3 linked regions of the Saccharomyces cerevisiae S288C genome follow. Changing the gene in region 2 together with the main gene of any one other region gives a genetic interaction. Each region holds a gene or a part of one and is shown on either strand. Other genes may lie near its edges. The genes, in order: GAD1, UGA1 and UGA2.

Region 1 (11,276 bases), on a different chromosome or scaffold from region 2:
TCATCAGTTTGGTGAAAAAATCTAGTAGTAACAATCTAACGGTGCTAAAGCTAGGCTCGTAGGCAAGATCACTATCCAACCATTTTAGTATTGAACGGAATATCATGTTCAGTCTCTGCGGTGCTATAGGAACAAACTGTTTATCTGCCTGTGGGATATCCAGCAGATTATTTAAAAGAGCTAACGACTTGAATTCTTGATCGACAAGTTCTACTTCTCTAATCCCAATCAATTGAGATGCCAGCAATGTCCTTAATTTCGTTATCTCATCTTTTGAGTTGGACCTGTTAAACATCAATAGTAATATAGCACATAGGAGATAATCTTTATCAGTAGATTTTTGATCCCTCACAGTTTTCGTGACAAAACTTTCAACCGATGCTAATAGCCCATTTAATGTGGTGGATGAAACAGTATCAATGCTGTTCAATAGAACCTTATATAATACTCTTGAATAATAAAAAAAGTAGACAGAATTACTTTCAGCAATATCAAAAGTAAGCATAGCATCACCACCATTAGCAGGCTGAATAACGTTTCCAACAATATCAGAAAAGTTCAAATTTACTTTGCCATGTTTGAAAAAGGTATGCCCAAAATCATAGTAAAGATCATTTGGTTCCTCTGAAAGGCAATTATAATCAGTGACGAGCTCAGAAACTACAGTTATAAATGCAACAATATGGTTATTAACGCGCTCTGGAAGAGCATCAAGTAGGGCATCTAAGAATAGAGCATACCTGATGAGCTTTTGCATATTTTTTAAATTGATAGGCTTATCATCTGTAAGGAGCAAATGCGTGTTAGTACTTAAGCTGCTCACTAAGGATGACCTATAATCAATTGCTGGCATATATCTGGCAAAAACTTCGATTGCGTTAGCGGGAAAAAAAATCTGAGAAGTATCGTTGCAGCCATTAATTAGCTCCACGGCGTGTGTGACATATTTTTCTTTTGCCCCGGGGCTGAAATAAACCTGAGCATGTTGCAAAATCACTTGGGCCAACTTATTAGCGATTTCAGAATTCCCTTTAGCCAACTGTAATGACAACTTGAATAGTTTCTCATTAGTGTCTTCTGAAACTTCATACAATGCACAAGAAAGAAAATCGGTATTCAGCAATAACGTTGAAAAAAAAGTTTCATCTAATTTAGACAAAACAGCACAAAATTGTTCAACTTGGCCATTGGCAACTGCGCTTCGGTAAAGTGTGGTGATAGTCCTTTGATTTAAAAATTTATTATTACCTTTAAATATTTCCCCACTGTCGTCAAACTTATAATTTTTCATAAAGTCTTCAATGTACAATTCTAATTCTAGGGAATCTGATTTCATTAATTGTTGATAAATATCATTGTCCAACTCATTCATTGTGGCTAAAATTATTGTCTTTGGTAAGTTAAAAGAAAGCGCAACGATAAAAAAGTCTTCCAACGAAGTAATCGCGTCAGTATTCATTTTGAAAAATTTGGAGTTTGAGTACTGTGCCATGATACCAGCAAAGTTTTGATATGTTGATTCTTGGACCAACGTTGGAATTTCGTTTATAAATTTCCCTATCTTCCCATTCAAGAAAATCATATCTGAATCTAAAAAGTAATTGAGAGCATCATATACACCGTCGTATTTGTTGAAAACATTTGAGGGATCTGTTTCGATTAATTGCACAAAAAAATCGAATAAACGACTAATTGCGGATTCGTTATTAGGAGAAGTAACCAATAAAGCAAAAAGATTCTTCTCAAAGCTCACCTTTATTTTTCTTATGTCTTCGTCTGAAGTGAAGTAATCTTCAATCTCTCTCTCCCATTTATCGGGTGGAAAGACGCCACTAAGAGTCTGGTTCAGTTTTGTGTACTCAGATAAAGATTTCCCGCAAGACAGAGAGTTAAAAATCTCACTTTCCACCATTTTTTTCACTCTTTCTTCTGATGAATCCTCAGCGAACTTCAAAAAATTTGTCCAAAACTCATTAAGAACCTCAGCGCTGTTTCTCGCAGAAAAGCCCTTTTCATTCAGTCTTTGCACCGATTTTTGCCAAAATGGAAGCCATTCAAGATAATAATCAAGAAAACTGTGTCTTTTAGTCGAGCTGTACAATGCAAACACAGCATTGAAAAATCCTGGCGATGGTGAAGTACGGGAAACCGATAAAAATTTGAGTACTTTTTCTTTAGAAGATTTATCGTATGACCATATTGTCCCATCTTCATAGTCATCCAAGGTAGCTAAAAGGTTCAGTATTGATGGGAGAACAGGGCATACTTTTAGAATATTCTTTGACGTAATATGAGTCAACGATTTCAATAGTTTTTTCACCGCTAACTTCATTATATTTTTGTGGGAAGGCATGTAACCTCTTGTATAAAGAACATCAATCAATCGAAGAACTGTTTCGTAGGCATTTGTATTTTGCCCATTTTTTAAGTTAAGTAGTTTCCAGATTGACTCATCAGAAAGAATCACCTTAAGACTGGAAGAATTACGTTCTGAGACGTCTTTGTTATGAACAAAAAGCTTAATCAGCAGCAATACGGCACTTGCTATAACTCTGTGGTATCTAAACTCAGATTCTTCTTTACTGGAGTAACGTTCATCAGAAATGGTATCTTCATTCTCGTTTACAACAATCTCCTTTACTAAATTCAATAGTTGTTCTTGAAAAACAGCCCATAAGGCGTTAATTTTTGCTGGGTCTTTGTTGAAACACTCTGTTAATTCATTAAGAGAAGGTTTGGAAACACTATAATCGAGTTCGCATGTACCGAGAAGTATCAAAGGTATAAAATCCTTTAAAAACTTCGATATTTTCTTCCGAAGGCTTTTGACAAGCATTATAGTAATTTGATGTGATTGCAGTCTGATGACCTTGTAATCACTAATTATCAGTTTAGCATATATCTGCGACCAACAAAGAAGAAAAATGTCATTGAAAAAGTACTCATTCTGGTTAAAGTCGCTGATCAAATTGGAAAGATCCATTAAAGCTTTTTCTTTTGTAGTTTCATCTCTTTTCAGAAGAGATTTGAAAATGAGTTTCAGCTCGTTCGAGTACAAGGAGTTTAAAAGACTTGGATCCGGCAAACCATCAAAGTAGTTTAAGGATATTCTAACACCATTATGGCCGAGCCCTAAATCTGTGTTATACTGTTGAAATGTATTGATTCCACCAAACGACATTAAGAACCAACTATTGCTTGAACTTTTTTTGATGGCTTAGCAGATTTGAACTATTAAGAAGGACTTCTTCAGTATTGTATATATTGAAGAAAACCATCTGAAGTTGCAACATTTGAATTTTTCCTATGACGTTTTTTTTCCTCGCTTCATCAATATTTTTCAGTTTTCCATGTTGGGGCATAATCTGGGTTAACTCGAATTGACAAGTATATAGTCAAGCTGGAGGTAAGAAGTACGTAACATTTAAAGAGCATTGTGACGATATTCTGTTCTTGATTAACTATAATTTTAAATATGAAGTTACACTAATTGCAAAGTAGCAAAAAATTTGGACGAGTCCGGAATCGAACCGGAGACCTCTCCCATGCTAAGGGAGCGCGCTACCGACTACGCCACACGCCCATTTCTTATTGTAATTTCTAGCCACTGTAAAAAGTGAAATCAGTTTAAAATGGAAGTGTCTATCAAAACTTACTATCCACTATCAAGTAATTACTCATGATTGTCGTGTTGGAATAAAAATCAACTATCATCTACTAACTAGTATTTACGTTACTAGTATATTATCATATACGGTGTTAGAAGATGACGCAAATGATGAGAAATAGTCATCTAAATTAGTGGAAGCTGAAACGCAAGGATTGATAATGTAATAGGATCAATGAATATTAACATATAAAACGATGATAATAATATTTATAGAATTGTGTAGAATTGCAGATTCCCTTTTATGGATTCCTAAATCCTCGAGGAGAACTTCTAGTATATCTACATACCTAATATTATAGCCTTAATCACAATGGAATCCCAACAATTACATCAAAATCCACATTCTCTACATGTCGGAAGAGGAACCACCTACCCCCTATAGTCTAGCATCCATCTTATTACATATACGACGTAGAAATATGGCATAAAGGTAAAGATTTAAAAGCTGCCATCAAATTTAATGGGGGTGGAACGCACGACTTGATAATGCAATAGGATAATGAGTGACAACATATAAAGTGGAACGAGAAACCATAATATTATTATGAAGAATCATCGATCCTTTTATGGATTCCTATATTTTCGAGTAAAACTTAAGGTATATTCGGTATAAGATAATGTTGTCCAAATTGTATTGTTATGGAAATGGTATTCAACAACTATCTCAAAAGTCACCTATTTCCCGTGCTTTTCGCATTCTATCACCTGTATTATTATATTGCATGATATCAAAAAGATGAATCATTCAGTGTAAATGGCACACAAATGTGCAAGTGCCAAGCTATTGAGTGGAATAATGGCCTTGTTATTTAATGGTAAGAGCCTTCTGAGGCCAATCTGCCTTCACGTACACAACCACCTTGTTAGTAACAGTGATACCAACATAGTTTGGCCGTGAGGCTAACCTTAGTGGTTTATTGCAATACTCAATACTGTTCTTAGACAATTATCCAACCATCGCCATTAAATGATAAAAAAATAAATTGACTGCTTAATTTTGCTGATACAATGCACTATATTATCGGCTGATGTAATGGTATTGTTATTCAACCTCCTCTCGGCATTGCAACATACTAATAGCCACCCTAGGGTGTCATTAGCATGCCTATACCGAGGCATACGAAAGCAACTAGCCATCAATTCCATCACCCTGTCATTCAACTCCGCTTCATGATCAGGACAGTTTGCACGTTATCAGATAAACTATGATACCGCTATTATTGAACTCTCTATGATATTCTATGAGCGTTTCTATTAAAAAGCTTGAGAGAACAGTAGGTTCCACTTGAGCTACATCTGGGTTGATAGTAGGGTCTGACATTGTTACTGACTGACATTCGCATAATTTGGTACCGGTACAAGCTTTGGCACATGTTCGTGATACCTTCGTCTGGTTTATTCATTGGCGCCAGTTCTCCCATTTTGGACGATTCTTTTCAAACAAGGTCTTAGGATTCGACGACGTGCTAGCTATAGCACAAGGCCAAGAATTAACCCAAAAACTGTATATTGTCTCTGCCTCAATGCTATCCGAATATCAAGCCCGCAAATATGGACAGATAAATCCAGTCTACCATATAGTACTCTGGATTCTTCCGGAATCAACTGCTGACTTTCTATATATGTAGCCGCATCTACGTGTTCAGATAGTTTTTATCACGCAGGTTGCCGTTTATACTTTGTTTTCTTGGAAGTATCTCGAGTAACAGTGATGCTCAGTCTCGTTTAGAAGAGTGTACCTTCCCGGGTTCCTAGGCGCTGATGCTGGTAAATTCTAGTTGGTTCTTGACATTTTTCAAATAATCAAATCATCTCATTTGCGATAGCAAATGTACAACGTGTGAAAGTAAAGAAGTTCATAGTATATGGGCTGTTCAAATTCTTGTTCACTGCGTTTATAAATAATCTTTCTGGCAAGTTAGACAAATTAAGAGCAAGAGTTGCATAAGAGCAGCATATAAATACACGTCAATTTAGGCATTCTTGTGATTATTAAGTTCATCAGAGTGAATTAGAAATTCATTATTTTACTATTTTTTTTTTTTCACCCTTAACAGCAAGGTTGAACTCTATAAGGAAAAGGGATAGATCGTGCGGCACACCAGAAAAAGGGGATCAGTAAAGTGATGCAACATAAATACATATATAAGAGAGCATAATTGACCACTGAACTGCAACGCACTCTCTGAAATCTCACCTTTTGGCGATGCTAAAATGTTTCAAGATATTACACGTCGCTCTTAACAATCCAGGCTGAACAAAACAAGGAATAATGTTACACAGGCACGGTTCTAAGCAGAAGAACTTCGAGAATATCGCTGGAAAAGTTGTCCACGACCTTGCAGGTCTGCAATTGCTTTCTAACGACGTTCAAAAATCCGCTGTCCAAAGTGGTCATCAAGGATCGAACAATATGAGAGATACTTCGTCTCAGGGCATGGCTAATAAGTATTCAGTTCCAAAAAAGGGACTACCTGCTGATTTGTCTTACCAACTGATTCATAATGAATTAACACTTGATGGTAATCCGCATTTGAACCTTGCCAGTTTCGTGAACACTTTTACCACTGATCAGGCAAGGAAATTGATTGATGAAAATTTGACCAAAAATCTTGCTGACAATGATGAATATCCGCAATTAATTGAGCTAACTCAGCGTTGTATTTCTATGCTAGCTCAATTATGGCACGCTAATCCCGATGAAGAACCAATAGGCTGTGCCACCACAGGTTCTAGTGAGGCAATCATGTTGGGTGGACTCGCCATGAAAAAAAGATGGGAACACAGAATGAAGAATGCTGGTAAAGATGCTTCCAAGCCGAACATTATAATGTCTTCTGCGTGCCAAGTGGCATTAGAGAAGTTTACGAGATATTTTGAAGTGGAATGCCGATTGGTTCCGGTATCCCACAGAAGCCATCATATGCTTGACCCAGAGTCGTTATGGGATTATGTAGATGAGAACACTATTGGCTGTTTTGTAATTTTAGGAACCACCTACACTGGCCATTTGGAAAATGTAGAGAAAGTTGCAGATGTCTTGTCCCAAATTGAGGCCAAGCATCCTGATTGGAGCAATACTGATATTCCAATCCATGCGGATGGCGCTTCAGGTGGGTTTATTATCCCATTTGGCTTTGAAAAAGAGCACATGAAAGCTTATGGCATGGAACGTTGGGGGTTCAACCATCCGCGTGTGGTTAGTATGAACACTAGTGGTCATAAGTTTGGCTTAACCACTCCCGGTCTGGGTTGGGTGCTATGGAGAGATGAATCCTTACTGGCTGATGAATTGAGATTCAAACTAAAGTACCTCGGTGGCGTGGAAGAAACTTTCGGTTTGAATTTTTCAAGACCTGGATTTCAAGTTGTCCATCAATACTTCAATTTTGTTTCTCTAGGCCATTCAGGGTATAGAACACAATTCCAAAATTCTCTATTTGTTGCAAGAGCGTTTTCTTTCGAATTATTGAATTCGTCAAAATTGCCCGGATGCTTTGAAATTGTTAGCAGTATCCATGAAAGCATTGAGAACGATTCCGCCCCTAAGTCAGTTAAAGACTATTGGGAACACCCCCAGGCTTACAAACCAGGTGTACCGCTGGTAGCCTTCAAATTGTCCAAGAAATTCCACGAAGAATATCCAGAAGTGCCACAAGCAATCCTTTCCTCTTTACTGAGAGGTAGGGGTTGGATAATACCAAATTACCCACTACCAAAGGCAACGGATGGATCCGATGAGAAGGAGGTATTAAGAGTGGTTTTCAGATCGGAGATGAAGTTGGATTTAGCACAGTTGTTGATCGTTGACATCGAGAGTATCTTGACAAAGTTGATTCATAGTTACGAAAAGGTTTGTCATCATATAGAACTTGCCTCTGAGCAAACTCCAGAGCGCAAGAGTTCGTTCATCTACGAAATGTTGCTGGCATTGGCATCTCCACAAGATGACATCCCAACGCCGGATGAAATCGAAAAGAAAAATAAGCTAAAGGAAACAACAACGAGAAACTATAGAGGAACATGTTGAGTTGAAAAGGTCATCCAATATACCGCCCCCTATATGTATGTACCTTTACCTTTTATTTAAGTACTAGTGCTGTTTAGTTAGGTTATGTGAAGGCACGGGTTTTGTCTTTTTTTTTTTTTTTTTTTACTATTACTTTCTTTTTCAAGCTTTTAAGCGCCGAAATGATATTTAAGGGAAGATGACTAAAGGGACAGCGACGAGGATTCAGCCTGGACAGTGATAGAAAAGTTATGCGGGAATACGTATATATAGTTGTATAAATTGTGGTTATAGAACATCGCAGCGCCTTTAAATATATTGTCTTTTATTTCAATCTTATTCCATCTCTCTCTTGCAACCACGGCAAAGCTGGAGCTATGTCTGAAAAATCAGCTAGCAATAACAAAGCTGAATTCAAAAGGCAGTCATCGCCATTCAGAGAAATCATCTCTGCGGATCACCCAATTTATAAACCTGCTAAGGGAAGGTACTGGCTGTATGTGGCGCTACCATGCCCATGGGCACAAAGAACCTTGATCACCAGGGCCCTGAAAGGGCTAGCGCCTATAATCGGGTGCAGTGTAGCGCATTGGCACCTGGATGACAAAGGCTGGCGATTCCTTGAAGAAGGAGATGGGAAAACCAATGAAAGGCACTGGTTTGACATTGCAGGCGGAATTAGCTCAGTAAATTTAAATACCAGTACTCCTGTGGCTAACATACCCAATAACGCGCATCGGTTGTTGGTCGACGGAACAGATGAACCGCATTACGGGTACAAGAGACTAAGCGACTTCTATTTCAAAACAAAGCCAGACTATAAGGGAAGATTCACCGTACCTGTTCTTTGGGACTTGGAAACATGCACTATAGTAAACAATGAAAGCAGTGATATCATCGGAATTATGAATTCCGCTGCGTTTGATGAGTTTGTCGGCGAAGAATACCGTCAAGTCCGTCTGGTACCTCGGTCTCTAGAGGCACAGATTACAGAGTTCAACTCTTGGGTGTACGATAAAATCAACAACGGTGTATACAAGGCCGGTTTTGCAGAATGTGCAGAGGTATACGAGAGGGAGGTAACAAGCCTTTTTCAATATCTTGACAAATTGGAAAATCTTCTGGACAAGAAGTACACAGATTTGGAGGCGGAGTATGGTAAGAACAACAAGGACAAGATACTAGATCGCTACTTTGCCATCGGAGACACTCTGACCGAGGCGGACGTGAGACTCTACCCAACGATAGTAAGGTTCGACGTGGTATACCATCAACACTTCAAATGCAATCTGGCCACCATCAGAGATGATTATTCCCGTATACACACGTGGCTCAAGAATATATACTGGCGCCACGAAGCCTTCCAGCGCACAACGGACTTTACCCACATAAAACTCGGATATACTCGCTCGCAGCCACGGGTCAACCCGATTGGGATCACCCCACTGGGGCCCAAGCCTGATATCCGACCTCCATGAAATTTTTTTTTTTCTTTCGATTAGCACGCACACACATCACATAGACTGCGTCATAAAAATACACTACGGAAAAACCATAAAGAGCAAAGCGATACCTACTTGGAAGGAAAAGGAGCACGCTTGTAAGGGGGATGGGGGCTAAGAAGTCATTCACTTTCTTTTCCCTTCGCGGTCCGGACCCGGGACCCCTCCTCTCCCCGCACGATTTCTTCCTTTCATATCTTCCTTTTATTCCTATCCCGTTGAAGCAACCGCACTATGACTAAATGGTGCTGGACATCTCCATGGCTGTGACTTGTGTGTATCTCACAGTGGTAACGGCACCGTGGCTCGGAAACGGTTCCTTCGTGACAATTCTAGAACAGGGGCTACAGTCTCGATAATAGAATAATAAGCGCATTTTTGCTAGCGCCGCCGCGGCGCCCGTTTCCCAATAGGGAGGCGCAGTTTATCGGCGGAGCTCTACTTCTTCCTATTTGGGTAAGCCCCTTTCTGTTTTCGGCCAGTGGTTGCTGCAGGCTGCGCCGGAGAACATAGTGATAAGGGATGTAACTTTCGATGAGAGAATTAGCAAGCGGAAAAAAACTATGGCTAGCTGGGAGTTGTTTTTCAATCATATAAAAGGGAGAAATTGTTGCTCACTATGTGACAGTTTCTGGGACGTCTTAACTTTTATTGCAGAGGACTATCAAATCATACAGATATTGTCAAAAAAAAAAAAGACTAATAATAAAAAATGAAGTTATCTCAAGTTGTTGTTTCCGCCGTCGCCTTCACTGGTTTAGTAAGTGCTGCTAACAGTTCTAACAGCTCAAGCTCAAAGAATGCTGCCCAACCAATTGCCGGTTTAAACAACGGTAAGGTTGCAGGCGCCGCTGGTGTTGCTCTAGCTGGTGCTTTGGCCTTTTTGATTTAAATTTAGACTTTGTTTGGAATACATTGAAAGAGAAAGAGTGGTTAATCGGGTGTAGAAAGAACAATCCAAAGTCACCTTTATTGGCGATATGTGTCATTGTTAATCCATTGGCCACATTTTTCCGATGATTTTCTCTCGGTGTGCAATATAGTAATAAGTTTTCACCTTTTCCGGTGAATAATGAAAAAAAAAAAACGAATACAAAAAAAAAAGTAATTTCTTTCAAGTTTATATATATAACAATATAATATTAAGTAATTTTAATCGAAAATTTTTTCCTCTAAAGAACCCAAAAATAAGCAACTATTGAATGAATATCTAAAATGATCGGAAGAAACGGTGTGCGCGGCGGAGGGAAGCGAAAAATTGGGAAACGGAAGCAATCACTTCTGTATTAACAATTGTTTAAAGCTGGGGTGACTGAACCTACTACCCGATTTCATATTATCATTGTTAGTTCCTAATTGCTCGTTCTTAAACGATTTCCAGATATCGTTATAAAATATGCCGAACACAGATGGCGAGTCATTGTGCTCGTCCATGCCAATACTCAGCCCCTTCAGCGAAACATTGGTCTTAGAACTTGGGTATTGGTGCCTGTAGTTTTTGACAAAACGCTGAATAAACTCTTGCTTCTGGGACATATTCAGTTCGTGCCATTTTTTAAAGGGGAAACATGCCTCCTTATCGAAGCTGAGCGAAGAAGAAGAAACAGGCGTGTATATCGTGCTTAAAGGTTTGAACCCAATTCTTGTTCTGATGTAGCTTACGAAAACTTTACCAAACATTAACACTTCACACTCGATCTTCTTCGTTTTGCTGCTTATATGGTACTTGCTGAACGACGCGATGATCCTTTTGTTTTGTTTTCTGAATGCTCGTGTACCCCACTTTCCCTATTGTTCTCTTGTTTCGTGTCCTTGCTTCCTCGGACTGCGCATTTCAACATGACACAAAAAAAAAAGAAAAGAAGGAAAAAAATCATAGTAGAAACTGAGGAATTTTATACTCGTCTTATTTAGAATCGGATAGGTCAAACTCTGTCAGGGGAATAGAGTTCTCTTCGTCGTCAATTATTGGGGTTAGGTCCTTGGCAGTTGTTTCATTGTTTGCCGCCCTTATCCTTATTACCCACAACGTGGCACTTATGATGATTATCATACCAATCCACGACCAGATATTTGGCCAATGCTTGTACAGTGC
Region 2 (10,888 bases):
AGGAATGTTTAGCAATATTGCCGTCACATTAACAATACTAATCTTCTCGTTGCGGTCCATTCATTTCCGCGGAGTTTACTGTCGAAAGGTTTTTTTTTTTTCCGCAGCATTTGGAAAACAATTGATGTGAGTAATTTAGAACAAAATATACGGCAGTAATCTCCCAAATTTGCGATACTACCACAATTCAAGATCGTGCGCGAGAGTAAGTCGAGCACGGTGCTGTATATTTTCATACATTATACATTCGAGGACCTTTCACCAAACAAGAGGAACTTAGCTGATACTAAACGAAGATTAGAAAAAGAGCAAAAAAAAACAAAAAAAGAACCACCGAAACATTAAAAGTGGGAATAATGTCGCATCAAATGGCGCCATGGATACCCATGTTTATTCAATCGTGCAAAAATAACACTGAACCGTTTGTATCATTTCAATTTGCTACTGTTGACGAACTAACGAACAAACCACGTTGTAGAACGGTAGTGTTCAGAGATTTTTTATTTCATGACAAAAGAACTAATGTGTTGACTTTTAACACTGATATGAGGAGCTCAAAGATAACTGAATCATTTATAACTCCAAATTCAAATAACTCTAGCGACAGCAAAAGATGTGAGACTCCATTTTTCGAAGCATGTTTCTATTTCCCGGAAACTTGGGAGCAGTATCGCTTCAGTGGCCAATGCTTTACAATATCTAAACAATTTAAGAAAATACCGGCTGAGATTGTAACCAAGTATGACATATTTTCACCGCGGTTTTCAGAGACAAATGATGACAGCACTGACGAAGAAATAGATACTCCAATTAACGACGACGACGACGACGATAAAAATAATGACGCCGACAATAATGACATTAACGAAGATAACAAACTTATAGAATCCATAGAGAACGATGAACACCATGAGGATGAAGACGACTACTACCCTCAACCACAAGAATGGGAGGCTGAATTACTAAGACAATGGTCCTCTCTATCAAGGCATACCAAGTCATTGTATAGGAAGCCAGCCCCGGGCCAGAAACTTACCTCTGAAACTAGCAAACAACTGGACAAACTCCATAGAGGAGTTGACGGTGCTAAAGAGGACGCTGGACTGGAAAACTTTGGTATTGTCTGTCTTTGTGTTGATTCTGTTGATTTTTTGAACTTGAAAGAGGGAAGAGGTGGTGAAAGATGGATTTTCCAGAAAACCGACGGCAAAGACGAAGATCTGTGGGAGGAACAAGAAGTGTGTCCGTGAGAAATGTCAATCATTATTGCTAACGTTCGCGATGGTTAATGCTTTGTATTCGCGCTATCTCGATTTCTACCTATATAGTTAATCTCTGTACAAAAACAATCTTTCCAACTATCCATTAATCATAGTATATTATCAGCGTCGGCGATTTTACCACGCTTGACAAAAGCCGCGGGCGGGATTCCTGTGGGTAGTGGCACCGGCAGTTAATCTAATCAAAGGCGCTTGAAGGAAGAGATAGATAATAGAACAAAGCAATCGCCGCTTTGGACGGCAAATATGTTTATCCATTGGTGCGGTGATTGGATATGATTTGTCTCCAGTAGTATAAGCAAGCGCCAGATCTGTTTACTGTAAAATTAAGTGAGTAATCTCGCGGGATGTAATGATTTAAGGGAATCTGGTTCAGGTTTTCACATATATTTGTATATAAGGCCATTTGTAATTTCAATAGTTTTAGGATTTTTCCTTCTCCCAAAATACTCACTTACTGTGTTACATTACAGAAAGAACAGACAAGAAACCGTCAATAAGAAATATAACTAAGAACAATGTCTATTTGTGAACAATACTACCCAGAAGAGCCAACCAAACCAACTGTTAAGACCGAGTCCATTCCTGGTCCTGAATCCCAGAAGCAGTTAAAGGAACTGGGTGAAGTTTTTGACACAAGACCAGCATATTTTTTGGCTGATTATGAGAAATCTTTAGGTAACTATATCACTGATGTGGATGGGAACACATATTTGGATTTGTATGCCCAAATCTCTTCAATTGCACTTGGTTATAACAACCCTGCTTTGATCAAGGCAGCACAATCACCAGAAATGATCCGTGCTTTGGTCGACCGTCCTGCCTTAGGTAACTTCCCATCTAAGGATTTAGACAAGATATTGAAGCAAATATTGAAATCTGCGCCAAAGGGTCAAGATCACGTCTGGTCAGGGCTTTCCGGTGCAGATGCCAATGAATTAGCGTTCAAGGCTGCCTTTATTTATTACCGTGCCAAACAAAGGGGCTATGATGCCGATTTTTCTGAAAAGGAAAACTTGTCTGTCATGGACAATGACGCCCCTGGCGCCCCTCATCTTGCCGTACTATCGTTCAAGAGAGCGTTCCACGGTAGATTGTTTGCCTCCGGTTCCACAACTTGTTCTAAACCAATTCACAAGTTGGATTTCCCAGCCTTCCACTGGCCTCATGCTGAGTATCCATCTTACCAATACCCATTAGATGAAAATTCTGATGCAAACCGTAAAGAGGATGACCATTGCTTGGCCATTGTTGAAGAATTAATCAAAACCTGGTCTATTCCAGTTGCTGCCTTAATCATCGAACCAATTCAATCTGAGGGAGGTGATAACCACGCTTCTAAGTATTTCTTACAAAAGCTAAGAGACATTACCTTGAAGTATAACGTTGTCTACATCATAGATGAAGTGCAAACAGGTGTCGGAGCCACCGGTAAGCTATGGTGTCATGAGTACGCCGATATTCAACCACCTGTGGATTTAGTGACCTTTTCCAAGAAATTCCAAAGTGCAGGATATTTCTTCCACGACCCTAAATTCATTCCAAACAAACCATACAGACAATTCAACACATGGTGTGGTGAACCTGCAAGAATGATCATTGCAGGTGCCATTGGACAGGAAATCTCCGACAAGAAGTTGACTGAACAATGTTCAAGAGTAGGTGATTATTTGTTCAAGAAATTGGAGGGTTTGCAGAAGAAATACCCTGAAAACTTTCAAAACTTGAGAGGTAAAGGAAGAGGCACATTCATTGCCTGGGATTTGCCTACTGGTGAGAAGAGAGACTTACTATTGAAGAAATTGAAGTTGAATGGTTGCAACGTTGGTGGATGTGCAGTCCATGCAGTGAGATTAAGACCTTCATTAACATTCGAGGAGAAGCATGCTGATATCTTTATTGAAGCATTAGCCAAATCAGTTAATGAATTATGATTGTATATTAGCGAGGCCGTGTCACGTTCCCTTTTTTGGTCTTTATATATGTGTATCTTGTTATAATTTTAAAGAAAAGTTTTATATTACTCATCAGTTGTGTGTGAAAAATATGGGCGGGTATTCACAATAGGAAAAAAAAAATGGGTTTGGTGACTGCAGTAAAGACGTGCTAAAAAAAAAAAAGTTGTTTTTATCTGAACCTTAAATATATCATTTATGAGTGTATATATTATACAAACGCAATAACAGTGGCTCCCGCCCTCCACCTCCGCCTGCTACTAGTAATCTACCAGTAATTGTGTTTGTTTTGGGAAAGATCGTTCGCTTACTCACCGAACAACTTTCTGACTCTCTTCAATACAGAGTCCTTTTCAGGGTCGTAGGGATGATCTTTAGATGGAATTTCTAAAATAGCAGGGAACGCATTGGTGAAGGAGTCCACTCTAGCTCTTATGTTTTCCGCGATATGTTGGTTGATTAGAAGGATGGCAATATCGTCTCTCTCTTCAGTAAAGTGATTAAACTTGTCAGTGATTTCCTCCTTAGTAGTCTTACCTTCTTGGTAAACAAAAAAGTTCTTTTCTTGGGTTTCAGGAGTGATTTGTCCAATCCCGGCTAACAATAAACCAGTTGTAGTATCTTCGTCAGCTATCACAGCTATAAGAGTACGTTTCTCAGCCATGATTTAGTTACTATGCGTCAGTGAGACTAGCTATGAATATAGAAATGTAGTGCTCTATTTTCTTAATTCTTTGTCAACTCGATATAATAAATGTAGTGCTTGCAATTCACGTTGGTTTTCCTGTTATCGTTCGCCTTTATTTTTTTTTTTTCTTTCGTTTTCCTACTTCCCTTTACCGGCGTAAGCGCAGTGAAATTTTTTTAGTACGCACGTACGCAAGTTTCAGCAGCAATAAGGGGAAAGATGATGATAATAACTAAGAAAAACAGCAAACTTGGTATGAACGCATCAAAAATTGGAAAATGTTGGTAAGAAATAGGTATCTGGGTGAACTGCTCAAAAACTCTCGATCGTTTAGTGTGCTGAATTCCTCGGTACGTTCAGGTCACAACAAATGGTCAACCATCAAGCACGGTAAAGCCAAGAATGATGCGGAACGAAACAAAATTAATAACAAGTTTGCAAACCAGATAGCAATGTCAGTCAAGTTAGGCAACGGTATTACGGATCCGAGCATGAATATAAGATTAGCCACCAGCATCGAGCTAGCAAATAAAAACAATGTCAGCAAAAAAGTTATTGAGAACGCCATCCGGAAAGCTTCTGGAAGCAGCGCATCGGGCAAGGACTCAAACGCTTCTGAGCTATGTGTATACGAGGGAATGGGGCCCGGCGGGGTCGCTATAGTGGTGGAAGCGCTGACAGACAACAAGAACAGGACCATAGGTCTGATAAGGAGTGCATTTAATAAAGCTAATGGATCGATGACTCCAACGTTGTTTTTCTTCGACAAAAAAGGATACGTTACAATGGTACCTCCGAAGATGTTAGACACTGAGGACAAGGTGCTAGAAAGCGTACTGGAGATTCAAGGCATCGAAGACATTGCGCCTGTGCAGGAAGACGCAGAAGATTTAGAGTGTGATACCGAAACTGAAACTACAGGCCAAACTTACGAGGCGGTGATGGAACCTGCCGATACCAATAAGGTGGCCGCCCTACTGAAGGAGCGTGGTTTCCACATCAGAGACTTGGGCATCGGCTACAATGCCAAGCCGGATATGGAAGTTTTCGTGCAAGGCGATGAAACGCTCGAGAAACTACAGAAACTGACCACAGCGCTCGAGGACATCGACGAAGTGACGTCGTTGTACACTAACGCTAGCAACGCTTAATCCAACCAAACCGTAAATAAATAATCAATACCACAAATACCTGTATATACTAAACAAACAGTAGTAATAACTGTAATAAAGAGTAAAAACAACAACAAAGACAATCGTACGTAAAAACACCAAGCGGACACCAGCACTTGCCTGCTGCGGACTGTTGTCTGCGGACTGGCGGGGGTCGAGCAAGAACCGACGAAGTAACCGACGGAAGGCGGGCGGAGACGGAGACGCAGCCGAGATCTATTTTTACTCAGCGGTAATATTAGATCATGGCTAGGGGGATCTGGAAGTACAATGATGTGCTCTCCCCCTCTCAAACACAACACCAGGATGAACTAAGGGCTCATCTCGAAAGTCGAAGGTGCCTCATTCAGGTTATTAGTGGTGCCTGTTGTGTCTTCCATGAACAAGGAGCACTTAATTACTTGTTGTTGCATGAGATATCATTTTTTTTTTTCCCTCTTTCTTGGGGTCTTGACAGTCATCAAATCGAAGTTTTTAGTTTTTCTTCTTCGGGAAGATCAATTTTAGGTAGAAAAGTGTAGATGAAAAACGAAGGATACTGCTATTTACTGTAAGTACTCTTCGGTCCATATTGGAAGACCAAGGCATAATAAGGATATATTCCGAGGAGATAATTGGGATATAATCCTCCATTGCTTCCGAAATTTGTTTAAACACTTCTAGTTCATTTCGGGTTGGTTCGATCTTCGTTTCCACTTTTAACTTACTCCCAGTTAGTATAATATAAGTAGTTAAGGTATGGCAAGCTGCAATCCGACCAGGAAGAAGAGCTCTGCTTCAAGCCTATCTATGTGGAGAACGATTCTCATGGCGTTAACAACACTACCGCTAAGTGTTCTTTCGCAGGAGTTGGTTCCAGCTAATAGCACAACATCGAGCACAGCTCCTTCCATCACTTCGCTTTCCGCAGTTGAGTCATTTACGTCCAGTACCGATGCAACGAGCAGCGCAAGTTTATCAACGCCGAGTATAGCTTCAGTATCCTTTACTTCCTTCCCACAAAGTTCTTCACTGCTTACTCTTTCGTCAACATTATCCTCAGAACTTTCCTCTTCGTCCATGCAAGTTTCGTCGTCTTCAACATCGTCGTCTTCTTCGGAGGTTACGTCATCATCGTCATCATCATCAATATCTCCTTCCTCTTCATCATCAACAATAATATCATCGTCATCATCACTGCCGACATTCACTGTGGCATCAACATCTTCGACAGTTGCCTCCTCCACACTTTCCACTAGCTCATCGTTGGTTATCTCTACGTCTTCGTCAACGTTTACGTTTAGTTCGGAAAGTTCAAGCTCTTTGATTTCCTCTTCAATTTCAACATCCGTTTCGACTTCTTCAGTGTACGTTCCCTCCTCTTCAACTTCATCTCCACCTTCGTCCTCATCCGAATTGACATCATCCTCGTACTCATCATCCTCATCCTCATCCACCCTCTTTTCCTACTCCTCCTCATTTTCATCATCCTCATCCTCATCATCCTCATCATCATCCTCATCCTCATCATCATCATCATCATCATCATCATATTTCACCCTCTCCACATCTTCCTCTTCATCCATATACTCGTCTTCGTCATATCCTTCATTTTCATCTTCATCTTCCTCAAACCCTACCTCATCAATCACTTCTACATCCGCCTCATCTTCTATTACTCCCGCTTCCGAATATTCCAATTTGGCAAAAACCATAACTAGTATAATAGAAGGCCAGACCATCCTCTCTAACTACTATACCACAATAACGTATTCACCGACAGCATCCGCATCTTCAGGAAAAAATTCACATCACTCAGGCTTATCAAAAAAGAATCGTAATATTATCATCGGTTGTGTGGTTGGCATAGGTGCCCCCCTCATCCTAATTCTACTAATATTGATTTACATGTTTTGTGTTCAGCCTAAAAAAACGGATTTCATTGACTCTGACGGTAAAATTGTCACAGCTTATCGTAGTAACATTTTCACCAAAATATGGTATTTCTTGCTGGGTAAAAAAATTGGTGAAACAGAAAGATTCAGCTCAGATTCCCCCATCGGCAGCAATAATATTCAGAATTTTGGTGATATCGATCCAGAAGATATACTTAACAATGACAACCCCTACACCCCTAAACACACTAATGTTGAAGGCTACGACGACGACGACGACGACGACGCTAATGATGAAAACCTATCATCCAACTTCCATAACAGAGGCATAGATGATCAATACTCACCTACTAAATCTGCATCATATTCAATGTCGAATAGTAATAGTCAAGATTACAACGACGCAGATGAAGTAATGCACGATGAAAACATTCATCGTGTTTATGATGACAGCGAAGCTAGCATCGACGAGAACTATTACACGAAACCAAACAACGGCTTAAATATCACGAACTATTAAATCATAGCGAAAGCAGCTTTGCCATAACTTTTCTTCTTAAAATCACCCTCGGTCATTTCGTTCTTCTTTTTCCGATTCAATTCCTAATAATTTATGCATATTACAGAACTTTTTTTTCCCTTTTTCTGTCACAGGTTTCCCAATTTTTTTGACGACTAAATAATAACATAACCACTACGTTCACTTCCCCGTATATATACATATATACTTAATATTATAAACGCATATACTTTTATAAACTTGGAATAAGTATTATATATTTATTTTGACCATCCGGAAATGCTTTATTTTACACTTGGAAAGAAAAGTGCATTTGGAAAACTTTTACATGTCACCCAAGTGCATACTGCTGACGATACAGGTTTAGAGACTAAAGAGAGCGCATGGAAGAAAACTTCAAAGGAAGAGAAGAAGGATCGCAGAGTTCAAAGGAACTCTTAATTTGGGCCCATCTTTTGAAAATATTGTCTCTGCAAAAGCTTCGAACACCATTTTGGATCCTCTGGAGAAGGCAAGACAGAATGCAGAGGAAGCTAAGAAATTACCTTGTTAGCTTAAGGTTCCTGTTCCTAAGGGTAGCGGTCACCACAAATGGAAAAGCGACTTTCCCAATGTAATTATTTTTGTTTGTTCCGCAAGTATCTAACAATATGATATATTGCTAGTTGAAAATCGAACACTCGAGTTACTTCCGTGATAGTTTAATGGTCAGAATGGGCGCTTGTCGCGTGCCAGATCGGGGTTCAATTCCCCGTCGCGGAGATATTTTTTATCATCACAAAAATAAGATAGCAAAACTGAAGAAACGATGAGTTAGTTTTAACTTTTAAAAGATCGTCCAATATTAACATAAAGGAACCCAGTTCTTTGGAAATAACAGGAAAGTGCAGAAAGTTCATTAGAAATCAACGATGATCTGATATACATATATATATATATATATATATATATATATAAAGGTTATTAATAGCCTTCGAACAACTCATCTATCTGTGCGATGACGTTAATATGAAGTATTTCTCCTTTTCTTGTTACTAGTGAACCCTTTTTAAACATTTCAGGTTCATTATTGTAGTTTATCCCACATTCAGAAAATAGTATTTCCTGTTTCTCATTACTAAATGTTCCACATAGTTTCTTCTCGGATTCCTGGGGAGTTAAGCCACACTTTATTATTAACTGCCAAAACGTCGTATTATAAAGATTGTTTATATGTGTATCGACATATCTCCAGGATAAATAATCTTTTATCGTTTGTAAATTAGGGTATGCTACACACCTTGAATCGAAATATGGCAAATGCTTGATATTCAACGGCTTTTCTGGGAAAAACTTGGCCCATAATGCGACGTAATTGGACGTGAAAAAAGAACCAAATAAAGTCGCAAGCTTGTCTTTCCTTCTGTTAAATAAAGTTGTACTTGACTTCAAAATAAATGAGTATTCGTCACTCTCCCCGAACGCCAATATAATATCATTTTTGTACTTGAGGACAAGGTTCTTAGCACATGCATTCATTAACTTCAAAGCATTTTCATCGTTTGGCTTGGCAAACTCGTAGAACTTGGAAAATTCATGAAACTTCTTGCCGTCTATTCTTACCACAATATAACACTGAGGCAAAATAACATCGTGTGTTTCAAATTGCCTTACGTATCCAAATTTAGAGTTTGCCATCCCGCTCGCATTAGGAAGTAGAATCTTTGAACATTAAGGCACATGACTGGCTATGAGCCCTTTAAGTTTTTCTCTATCCGCATGTCTTCAATTAATTCTCCATCAGTGATTTTTAAAACAATAAAAACTTTCAATCCGGGTAAAACTGAAGAATATAGAGCGAAAAAAGCGTATGTGCAGGACAAGGGATACTTACGCCAAAAAAGACCATGTCCATTTTATTATAGGATACCCACTTGCACGGCGTCAAAGTACTCAATTGGCTGTGCTTCTTCAAAAAAACTAACATACACAAGAACCAAATTTAAATTCAACTTGGTTACCCAAAGAGAGAATTCATTATAGAAAGATATAAAAATTTTGTAGAAAAAAAACAACAACGTTGGAAATGGCGAAGACTATCAAAGTTATCAGGAAGAAGGACCCCAAAAAGAAGAACCTATCCGATCCTTTAGCAAAACAAAAACTAGTTTGGAAAATCGGACACGTTTTAACTTTAGTTTTTGGTTTATTATTTTCTATCACGTATTTCTACCATGTCCTAATCTTCTTCAAATATCGTTCCTGGAAGTGGTTGTTCTTAAGGGTCAATAAAAATTACTCGTTTATTCAAAGTAAGAGATGGTACATGAAACTTTTGAGTTGGAGCCCACAGGTAATGTACCGTTTGTCATTAATTGGCGTATTTATGTCTGAGTCCGTCACAATGCAACAGAACTGGGTTGGACTTAACCCTACTTGGAATGACCTTTTGTCCTCTGAGAACTTTCATACCCTTTTGATTGCCTGTTTATGGTTCTTTGGTGGTGGTAAGTCTTTTTACAAGATTTTGCCTTACATGATTTTAAGTTATCTACACCTAACTAAAATGAACTACGAATTGAATGCTAACAAAGAAGAAAAGATCCCTTTAACACCCAAAGACAGAAAAATGCTACACTTACTTGCGTACTCTGAATTACTTGTTATCTTAGCGCTAACACTAGACACTATATTGTTTAAGACGGGTACATCCGGATTTATGCTCGTCATTTATGTTGGTATTTATTGGTTGAGGTTGAACTTCTCTCCATACGCACAAGTGGCTGTTTTGGAGTTACTTGTCAAGTTTGAAAAATACGTCCCCAAAAAATATAGAGACAAATGGCAGGTTATAAAGAACTTTATTTATATGAAAATGAAGGAGCACGAAAAGAGAACAGAAGAAGTTGCCAGATACGCGTAAGAAATTCTCTAACTTAAGATGACCAGATGTCATGTTCGTTTACTTATTTTCCTCTCCTCTTACCTTTTTTGGCCACTAACGCTCGTACAGAAATGGACGGCATACATACAATTTAATCAATTCTCTTAAATACCGTTTTATACCTCATTTCTGACTTTTCAGCCGTTAATGTTCCTTTTTTTTTTAGACTATTGTATGTATCACTTCCTGAATGATGTCTTCCATAACACAAACGTGACGTGCAAATAAACATACATAAAAATATTATTGAAAATACAGATTATTTAAAATTATATAACCCGTTCCCTGTTTATTCAGAAGCAGTAGCTCTGGTGTAGATAGCTTGCTTGGAGTGCTTGGAGATTGGCTTGATGATACCTTCCTTTTCCAAGTGTCTCAAAGCAATTCTAGCTAAAGAACCACCAATCTTTAATCTGTCGACCAAAACAGAGACAGAAACGTATCTGTAAGTTGGAACTTCCTTCAAGATTCTGTCG
Region 3 (8,223 bases), on a different chromosome or scaffold from region 2:
ACGGGCACGGAAATGGAGCATTCACGACTCCAAATACCAACAAATGCAAAAAAAAAAGATAATGGTTCAGAATATATGCTTGTTAAAAATCCAGCGGCACTCGTTAAGAAAAACAACAGAGATGTTTTTTTAGCGATAGTTCTAGCAAACTGTGATTGCCTTATATTTTGGCTGAAAATTTTTTTTGTTAGAAAATATAAAACAATACCTGACAAGTAAAATAAAACATTTTCTATTGCAACTCCAACCCTTAAGGCATGGTAGATGCTATCGTTATTACTTTTAATAAACAGCCTAACGAAAAAAGTCCACAACTGAGAAAACGCGTATTCATGCTCAAATTGAGGTTTTCCGTTTTTGGAAGTTATGTTCTTGATAAAAAAAACACTGTCCCATGATAGTAGCTTATTCCAAAAATACTTGTTCCAATAACTGTTGATTTCAGAGGGAGAAGAACATAATTCGTTTAATAAAAGTGATGTTGATGTATCAAACTGCCTAATTGGAGTCAAAAAAACCAGTAAATACTGTATTGAACGGAATAATACAAAATAAAGTGTCAACCCCACAATCATATTTTAATTTAGTCTTATTCCGCCTCCTCTCTCGAAGCCTCTCTTTTATGTCTTTTTTCGATGATGAGGCTTACTTTTTTTTTCAACTAAGCCTTGAAAAAAAAAGTTTGATTTAAAAGGGATTTTCTATTTTAAGTATTTAAATGACCGACAGGAAGCTCATGCAGAAAAGGCACCTGTAATAGCTTATTGATCATTCCAATAAATAGGAAAGTATAACTCGAATTAAGAATAAGGAATGGGACTTATTTCATACGAAAATGAGGCGATAAACGAGGTGAAAAAGGCAGATAACCATCACGTTAGCAAATTTGTGACTAGTTACTATGGGCCATCATCGTCGTCATGGCAGTCAGGAATATGGATTTTGTTTGTGCTGTTTGTTGCCGCAGTAATCCTTATAATACTGTTCACTTTTGTAGCGAACAGAAGGAGACGAAGGATGGGGCGTGCTCCCATTAGAGGTACGGCATGGTTGACACCGCCTTCATACAGACAGTCTCAGCAACAATATACTGGGACCGTTCAGCAACGGACAGATGATTATGTTCCTGAGTATACAGAAACAGCGAACGAACATGATCTTGGATACTATGACCAGCGGGGCGAGTTTCACCCCAACGATAAGGCTGCATACGTGGCCCCCCCGCCATTGGTACAAGAATGTTCATCAGAATCTGTTAATTCTTTAGAAAGACCTCCCGCTGCTGTAGTTCACCAAGCTAACTCTTTAGATACGGATTACGGTTTAACAAGGCCTAGCAATGGGCGCGTTCCAGCTGTAAGTGATACGGTGGAGCAATTGGAAAGGCTTCCGGGCGGGACTACAACGCAGGAAATTAACCCACCGGAGAGGGCAAAGGTAAATGCAAGGTCATGAACTGAATCTTTTTTTCCGGCTGTCCTCTTACAGTTGAGTTACAATATTTTGCCAGAAATATTTACATTTTTTTACCCAATCTCTATAATAATTATTTTAATTCCTAATCCGCTTCAGGCCCGCGGTCGTTGAAGTGCTATAGTTTATATTCAGTACATTGTCTTTAATCTCTCAGTATTATTTTATCAATAGTAAATACTTCAAGTCCATCGCACGGCGTGGTGGTGATAAAGGGAAAATGCGCGCGGGATTAGCAAAGGCGGCCAATGGATTAAGGGTGACAAGATAGCACCACATCACATCACATCACCATCAGTAATGGAGAGGAAATAGGGTATAAATACTCGTCAGAGATCAATAGATATTATTTCGCAACGTCCTTTATTGTTCTGTTCTTATTTGATCAATTAAGCTAGAAAACCAGCTACATTAAAAGCAAATTTTACAAACTACTATTTCAACATGACTTTGAGTAAGTATTCTAAACCAACTCTAAACGACCCTAATTTATTCAGAGAATCTGGTTATATTGACGGAAAATGGGTTAAGGGCACTGACGAAGTTTTTGAGGTGGTAGACCCTGCTTCCGGCGAAATCATAGCAAGAGTTCCCGAACAACCAGTCTCCGTGGTTGAGGAAGCGATTGATGTTGCCTATGAAACTTTCAAGACGTACAAGAATACAACACCAAGAGAGAGGGCAAAGTGGCTCAGAAACATGTATAACTTAATGCTTGAAAATTTGGATGATCTGGCAACCATCATTACTTTAGAAAATGGTAAAGCTCTAGGGGAAGCTAAAGGAGAAATCAAATACGCGGCTTCGTATTTTGAGTGGTACGCCGAGGAAGCACCCCGTTTATATGGTGCTACTATTCAACCCTTGAACCCTCACAACAGAGTATTCACAATTAGGCAACCTGTTGGTGTATGCGGTATAATTTGTCCATGGAATTTTCCGAGCGCCATGATCACGAGAAAGGCCGCCGCTGCTTTAGCTGTGGGCTGCACAGTAGTCATCAAGCCAGACTCTCAAACGCCGCTATCTGCTTTAGCAATGGCATATTTGGCTGAAAAGGCAGGCTTTCCCAAGGGTTCGTTTAATGTTATTCTTTCACATGCCAACACACCAAAGCTTGGTAAAACATTATGTGAATCACCAAAAGTCAAGAAAGTTACTTTTACTGGTTCTACAAACGTCGGTAAAATCTTGATGAAACAATCTTCTTCTACTTTGAAGAAACTGTCTTTTGAGCTGGGTGGTAACGCCCCTTTCATAGTCTTTGAGGATGCCGATTTGGATCAAGCCTTGGAACAAGCCATGGCTTGTAAATTTAGGGGTTTGGGTCAAACATGTGTGTGCGCAAATAGACTTTACGTTCACTCATCCATAATTGATAAATTTGCGAAATTACTCGCGGAGAGGGTCAAAAAATTCGTAATTGGCCATGGTTTGGACCCAAAAACTACACATGGTTGTGTCATTAACTCCAGCGCTATTGAAAAAGTTGAAAGACATAAACAGGATGCCATTGATAAGGGAGCAAAAGTTGTGCTTGAAGGTGGACGTTTAACTGAGTTAGGTCCTAACTTTTATGCTCCAGTAATTTTGTCACACGTTCCCTCAACAGCTATTGTTTCCAAGGAGGAGACTTTTGGTCCATTATGTCCAATCTTTTCTTTTGATACTATGGAAGAAGTTGTCGGATATGCTAATGATACTGAGTTTGGTTTAGCAGCATATGTCTTTTCTAAAAATGTCAACACTTTATACACTGTGTCTGAAGCTTTGGAAACTGGTATGGTTTCATGTAATACAGGTGTTTTTTCGGATTGTTCTATACCATTTGGTGGTGTTAAAGAGTCAGGATTTGGAAGAGAAGGTTCGCTATATGGTATTGAAGATTACACTGTTTTGAAGACCATCACAATTGGGAATTTGCCAAACAGCATTTAAAGCAATAGTAATCGTGGACGATACTTAGAATTGAATATGATTCTTTGTAATGATTGTATATATCTATTGCATGTATAAATACTCTACTCCTCGTATATAGAAAGTTAAGTAAATTTTTTGAAAGAAAAGAGTTCATATATTTACGGAGTTTTGAAGTTTTTCACAAGCGGAATAAGTGATACCATTCATAAAATATCATATCTATCTATCTATCTATTTTTGTGAGATATATGGTACGAAAATAAATGCCTTTCCTTTTAAGCCTTTCTGTAAGCTTTTATGTATACAACGTTTCTTTATCTTTATTTCGGACCTTGTTTCATGTACTTTTCCTTATAAATCCAATCTGAACCTAATAGATTTGCACCTTTTTTATCGGCTATCCTAAACCATGCAGCAGCTCTGGCGAGATCCCTTTTCTTTACGTTTGAAGTTTTGGACCAAATTGTCCCGCTTAAGCACATTGAGTCTACATGGCCTAATAGAGCAGCTTTTTCCAAAAATTTCAAACCTTTTCGCTCGTCGGGATGATCCATCCCAAGACCCTTTAAATATGCCATACCACATTCGTACAAGGCAGGTGCTGTTGGTTCAGGCGCTATATCAGGGATATCGTCCATTGAAGCAAAATTTAACGGATTTATATCTAAATCAAGAACCTCAGCAGCAAAGGATTTGATATCAGTGGCAGCCATTAAATATCCTAATGATAATTTCAAGTTCTTGTCCACTCCGCAGCCATGTCGCAGGGCTAGTCCATATAACAGAAACGCAGTTTTGTTTCCGCACGCGCAGGCTTTTTTCAGTCGTTGTGCAGATTCTTCAAGTTTGCCTTGATGACGCATAGTAATTGCCTGTCCGATGTGTGAAGATTCATCATTATCATAAGGTTCTGGGTGAAATTTAAGCTTCCCGCACTTGCTTGTTGCGTTCGATCCTTCTTTTTTATGACTGAAGGAATCCATGCATTGCGTCGAATTATTGGGCAACATACCATCTAAAGAAAGTGTTCTTCTTCTAACTTTCGGGTGGTAGGGCTTATTTGATTGTTCTGTTAGTGCACTTAGTTCACCTATTTTTGAATCTTTTTCCGTTGTATGGAAATCCGAGAAAGTTCTCAAATGAGTCCTATTTGGACGTGCTTTACTGTTCTTTTTTTTATCCGTGGATGACTGAGGTGTTGATGCTGTTTTAAAATGGAAAACTGGGTTTGGAGGAAAAATATACCTAGCTAAATGTGGACTGGAATTATTAATGGTACTTGAAGTAGATGGAAGTTGAATATTCTCCCCAGAGAAGTCCAATGAATTGGTGGCAGACCGGATAGGGCTTGATCCTTCAGACTCAAGGTCTTTCTTATTTTTTGCTCTTGTCCTAGGAGATTTAAAAAGTTTTTTTAGCGAATTTAGTGACGTTTTTTTTTTATGAGCTTTATATGGTGGCGTTGGAGGTAATGAAATATCATTTGTCATGGTATTTGTTTTCGTTATCGTCGAGGTAGAGGAATTAGACCGTTTAGGAGATGGTTTGATGGGTGTTGTATCACTCTTAGTTAACTTGAGTTTGGAGAATGAGGATGATTCACTTTCAAAAGAAGACTGAGTTTTCGGCTTTGATAGTTGTCCAACTTCAGAAAAGGAGGTGTTGGTGCTTGTTGAACTTCCGTTCCGATAAAGACAATTACTCTTTTGCGTGGTTGTGAACTCATTGGGGCAACTCTGCTTCTCGGATATTCTGTCAGTTTTTGTAGATGTATTAATATTATTACTAGTAGTTCTGTTATTCTTACTATTAGCATTATTGTCAACGCTAGTATTATTGTCTGATATCAGCGTAGGATAAAGATGGTGCAGTCTAGTATTTTCAATCCTATATTTCTCGAAGTTGAAAGGATTAGGGCTATTTGTGCTTCTATTGCCATTTTCAAGGTTTGGGTACTTATAATCTTTCTCATTTCTATTCATTTGGGGTTTCATGCCACTAAAAGTCTCAGAGTCATAATCTTCTTCGACGATATAAGAGTATCTCGACTTCACGGGCAAATGCCTTTCCACTTTACCGGAAGAGTATTTGCCTCTCAAAGTGGAATCCTTTTCTTTTAAATTGTCTATGATAAGAGAACGATCTCTAGCTTGTATATATGTTGGAGAGGGATTAGTTCTATACCTTAATGAAGGGAATTCCGACGCAGGCATACATAATGTTGGACCACTTGTTTGTGACAGTTGCGAATTTCTCGACGCGTTTTCTTCTTCTAATAAAGCTTCTTGCAGAATCAGTTCATCTTCCAAGCTGAGGTCTAATTTGTCAAGAAGTCTTTCCGTGGTTTGAATAGATTCGAATGAAATGCTACTTTTATTTGAATGAGCATAGCTAAATTGTGAATCCATTGATGACTCGAAGCTATTATTGGGTGGTGGGCTTTGTGAAACCTCTGAAGAGTTAGCTTTTCTTTCTTGATCGTCGCTTCCTATTCGATCAGCCCAAGAAGTGTTTTTTAAATTTTGATTCATTACTTTTCGTGTGACGTAAAAGTCCGTTTGTTTTTCTAGATTTTCTGTTTTTTCTCGAGGCTCCTACAAGTTCCACCTATATTTAGCATTGAGGAACAGAATGTGCTATCGCAAAGAGCAATGGCAACAGAAAAAAAGAGTTGCTAAAGAAGAACTATTTTTGAATGTCCGTGGTAATACAATGGAAGACTACTAGAACACGATGGCAGATAAGGTGATTTGATAATCAAATTCAACGACGGTTGCACCGTTGTTCTTTCTGCCGCTCTTCGTCCGGAGCCTTCTGTGATAATTGTTTTAACGCGCAGAAACACACGCAGGCTGCGTAAAGGAATGGTGGGGCTCGAAGAAGTGACAGTGGGTGTCCACGGAATGTTCTGAGCGCAGGGATCCGGTGTTGCCATCGCACACGATATGAGACGCGTTCATTTTTTCCAGCAGTCACCTAAAAGTTCAAGAAACGCTATGTTGTAATGCAGCTGTATTGTACACTGGCTGGTATTGCCGTTCTGATCTATGACTTACTTGTTAGAGGTAATAGCTGTCTTAGATCGGCTTGCTTCTTCTGACTTCCTTCTTTTTTTTTTTTTTTTCGAAGTGAGGCATGCTGCAGTTTTGTGCAGCTTCTCTTGCATCACTTCCTGTATTATTTACGTTGTTTACATTATCAGGTATTTTGTATTATTTTTTGCGCAACAGCAAGCAAACGCAATAGCGATAAATGCCATAATATAATCAAAATTTAGCAAGGATACATAGCAGCAAACCCGAACCTTTAGGCCTCTCATAGATGAAGAAAATTTGTACAATTCTTTTGGTTCTTTGGCTCTTCAAATATGAATTTATTAAGAGGAAATCCTGAAGCATCAGAACATCGCAAACTTTTTATTCGCAAGAGGATTTATCCTCTGATTAGTTATATATGAATATGTGTTCCTTCTGCATGATTTTGATATCAATAGTATGCATTTTTTTTCGATTCGTCGTAGAAACATAGCTACTCTCATGACCAAATGACTCTTTTTGGCTTTGACAGTGGAACAGCCAAGTTTTTATGTAGAAATATATTATCTGTTAACTGGAAATGATGTCTTAGGCCCATAAAATGTGCTAGAACGTATGGCTAATCCTTTTGCTCTGTATTCAATTGAGTATTTTGCTTAATTTCTATTTGATAATTGAACTTCTTACGTGTATAAATGGTTGCATATTTCTTTAGTAAGTACTATTTTCAAATATGAGTGAAGGATATTGTGGCTCAAGTAATTCCTCTTTCTTTTTTCATCCGTATGGTAAGCAAAGGGTCACAAAGTAACCGATAGTGTGTAGACCTTAGATCTTCCTTCAAAGATTTCAAGTCTGCGATAAATAAACATGAGAATACTTGCAACAACAACTTTTATAAACAATGAAGTTCATTATGAACAGTATTTATTTCACTGCTAAACTTTACGTAAACTTATGTGGAACATCTTTGTCGACAGATGGACGATAAGTAAAATTGTGTTATTATAATTCAAATTTTCATGGTAAGAACATCGGCTTTCTACTCCTCTGTGTACGAAGATCTTGTACGTAATGATGGCCCATACTTATAAAGTATAAACGGGATAATAGCTAGACCTAAAGTTAGGAACCCCACTAAGGACGAACCCCATGCCACAGGATAGTTCTTAGTAGCTAAATTGTCATACATTGCTCTACCAAACAACGGAAAAGCACAGGCAAACGAAGCCCGACAAAAACCATTGCCTGCAAAAACGGATGCAACATACTTTGGGTAGCATGTAGCCAAATATGCAAAAGTTGCTTGGAAAATGTTAAAGACAGCTAAAACAAAAAAAACTTCCGAGATAACTGGCAAAATCCAATGCACTCGAGCAGTCCAACCAAATAAGAACAAAGACAGAGGCAGGCACCAGCAGACACACATTGCCACGATTAAAAAAGCTTCCGGGGTGAATGTGCCGTTTCTAAAACGTGGTACAATAATCCTCATGTTTAAAATACCGAATAAGCCATAAGCAAGTACGCACCCTACGCAAAACCCCATATAGGCCAAGCCAACTTCAACTAAGCTGAAGTGGTATATACCTACAAATACAATAGGGAATGCTTCAAAGAATAAGTAGAAACAACCATAAGCAACAGCGATATAGAGATCAAAAGCCAAAATTGCAGGCTCTTTGATAATCATTTTGAGAGGCCTATACAAAGTATTGATCAAAAAAGTTCTTGCATCAACTTCTCTATCGAGTTTATCCTGTTCAGTATAGTACCTGTCATCACCAGTTTCTTT

What was found.
Region 1: mutations in UGA1 (region 2) and GAD1 impair growth when combined (synthetic growth defect), as found in Saccharomyces cerevisiae (2 studies listed by BioGRID, with this or other methods).
Region 3: mutations in UGA1 (region 2) and UGA2 are lethal when combined (synthetic lethality), as found in Saccharomyces cerevisiae (one study listed by BioGRID).

Annotation. Positions count from the first base shown.
Region 1 is NC_001145.3:764,859-776,134, forward strand, and holds GAD1 (glutamate decarboxylase GAD1), read left to right. Parts: upstream 1-5,942; coding exon 5,943-7,700; downstream 7,701-11,276. Other genes in the region: ubiquitin-protein ligase RKR1, read right to left, coding at 1-3,181; YMR247W-A (uncharacterized protein), read left to right, coding at 4,425-4,568; GTO3 (omega-class glutathione transferase), read left to right, coding at 8,057-9,157; HOR7 (Hor7p), read left to right, coding at 9,894-10,073; MLO1 (Mlo1p), read right to left, coding at 10,457-10,861; YMR253C (uncharacterized protein), read right to left, coding at 11,088-11,276.
Region 2 is NC_001139.9:523,431-534,318, forward strand, and holds UGA1 (4-aminobutyrate transaminase), read left to right. Parts: upstream 1-1,798; coding exon 1,799-3,214; downstream 3,215-10,888. Other genes in the region: YGR017W (uncharacterized protein), read left to right, coding at 357-1,250; YGR018C (uncharacterized protein), read right to left, coding at 935-1,264; VMA7 (H(+)-transporting V1 sector ATPase subunit F), read right to left, coding at 3,543-3,899; post-initiation translation factor DPC29, read left to right, coding at 4,202-5,074; MTL1 (Mtl1p), read left to right, coding at 5,834-7,489; THG1 (tRNA guanylyltransferase), read right to left, coding at 8,453-9,166; YGR025W (uncharacterized protein), read left to right, coding at 9,209-9,511; YGR026W (uncharacterized protein), read left to right, coding at 9,555-10,391; 40S ribosomal protein eS25 RPS25A, read right to left, coding at 10,702-10,888. UniProt on the Saccharomyces cerevisiae protein: Required for the degradation of gamma-aminobutyric acid (GABA), which is important for utilization of GABA as nitrogen source and for oxidative stress tolerance.
Region 3 is NC_001134.8:245,093-253,315, forward strand, and holds UGA2 (succinate-semialdehyde dehydrogenase (NAD(P)(+))), read left to right. Parts: upstream 1-1,917; coding exon 1,918-3,411; downstream 3,412-8,223. Other genes in the region: GPI-anchor transamidase GPI18, read right to left, coding at 1-575; RCR1 (Rcr1p), read left to right, coding at 814-1,455; DSF2 (Dsf2p), read right to left, coding at 3,714-5,924; FLR1 (Flr1p), read right to left, coding at 7,471-8,223. UniProt on the Saccharomyces cerevisiae protein: Catalyzes the oxidation of succinate semialdehyde to succinate. Can utilize both NAD(+) or NADP(+) as a coenzyme, but has a 2.5-fold lower activity with NADP(+) than with NAD(+).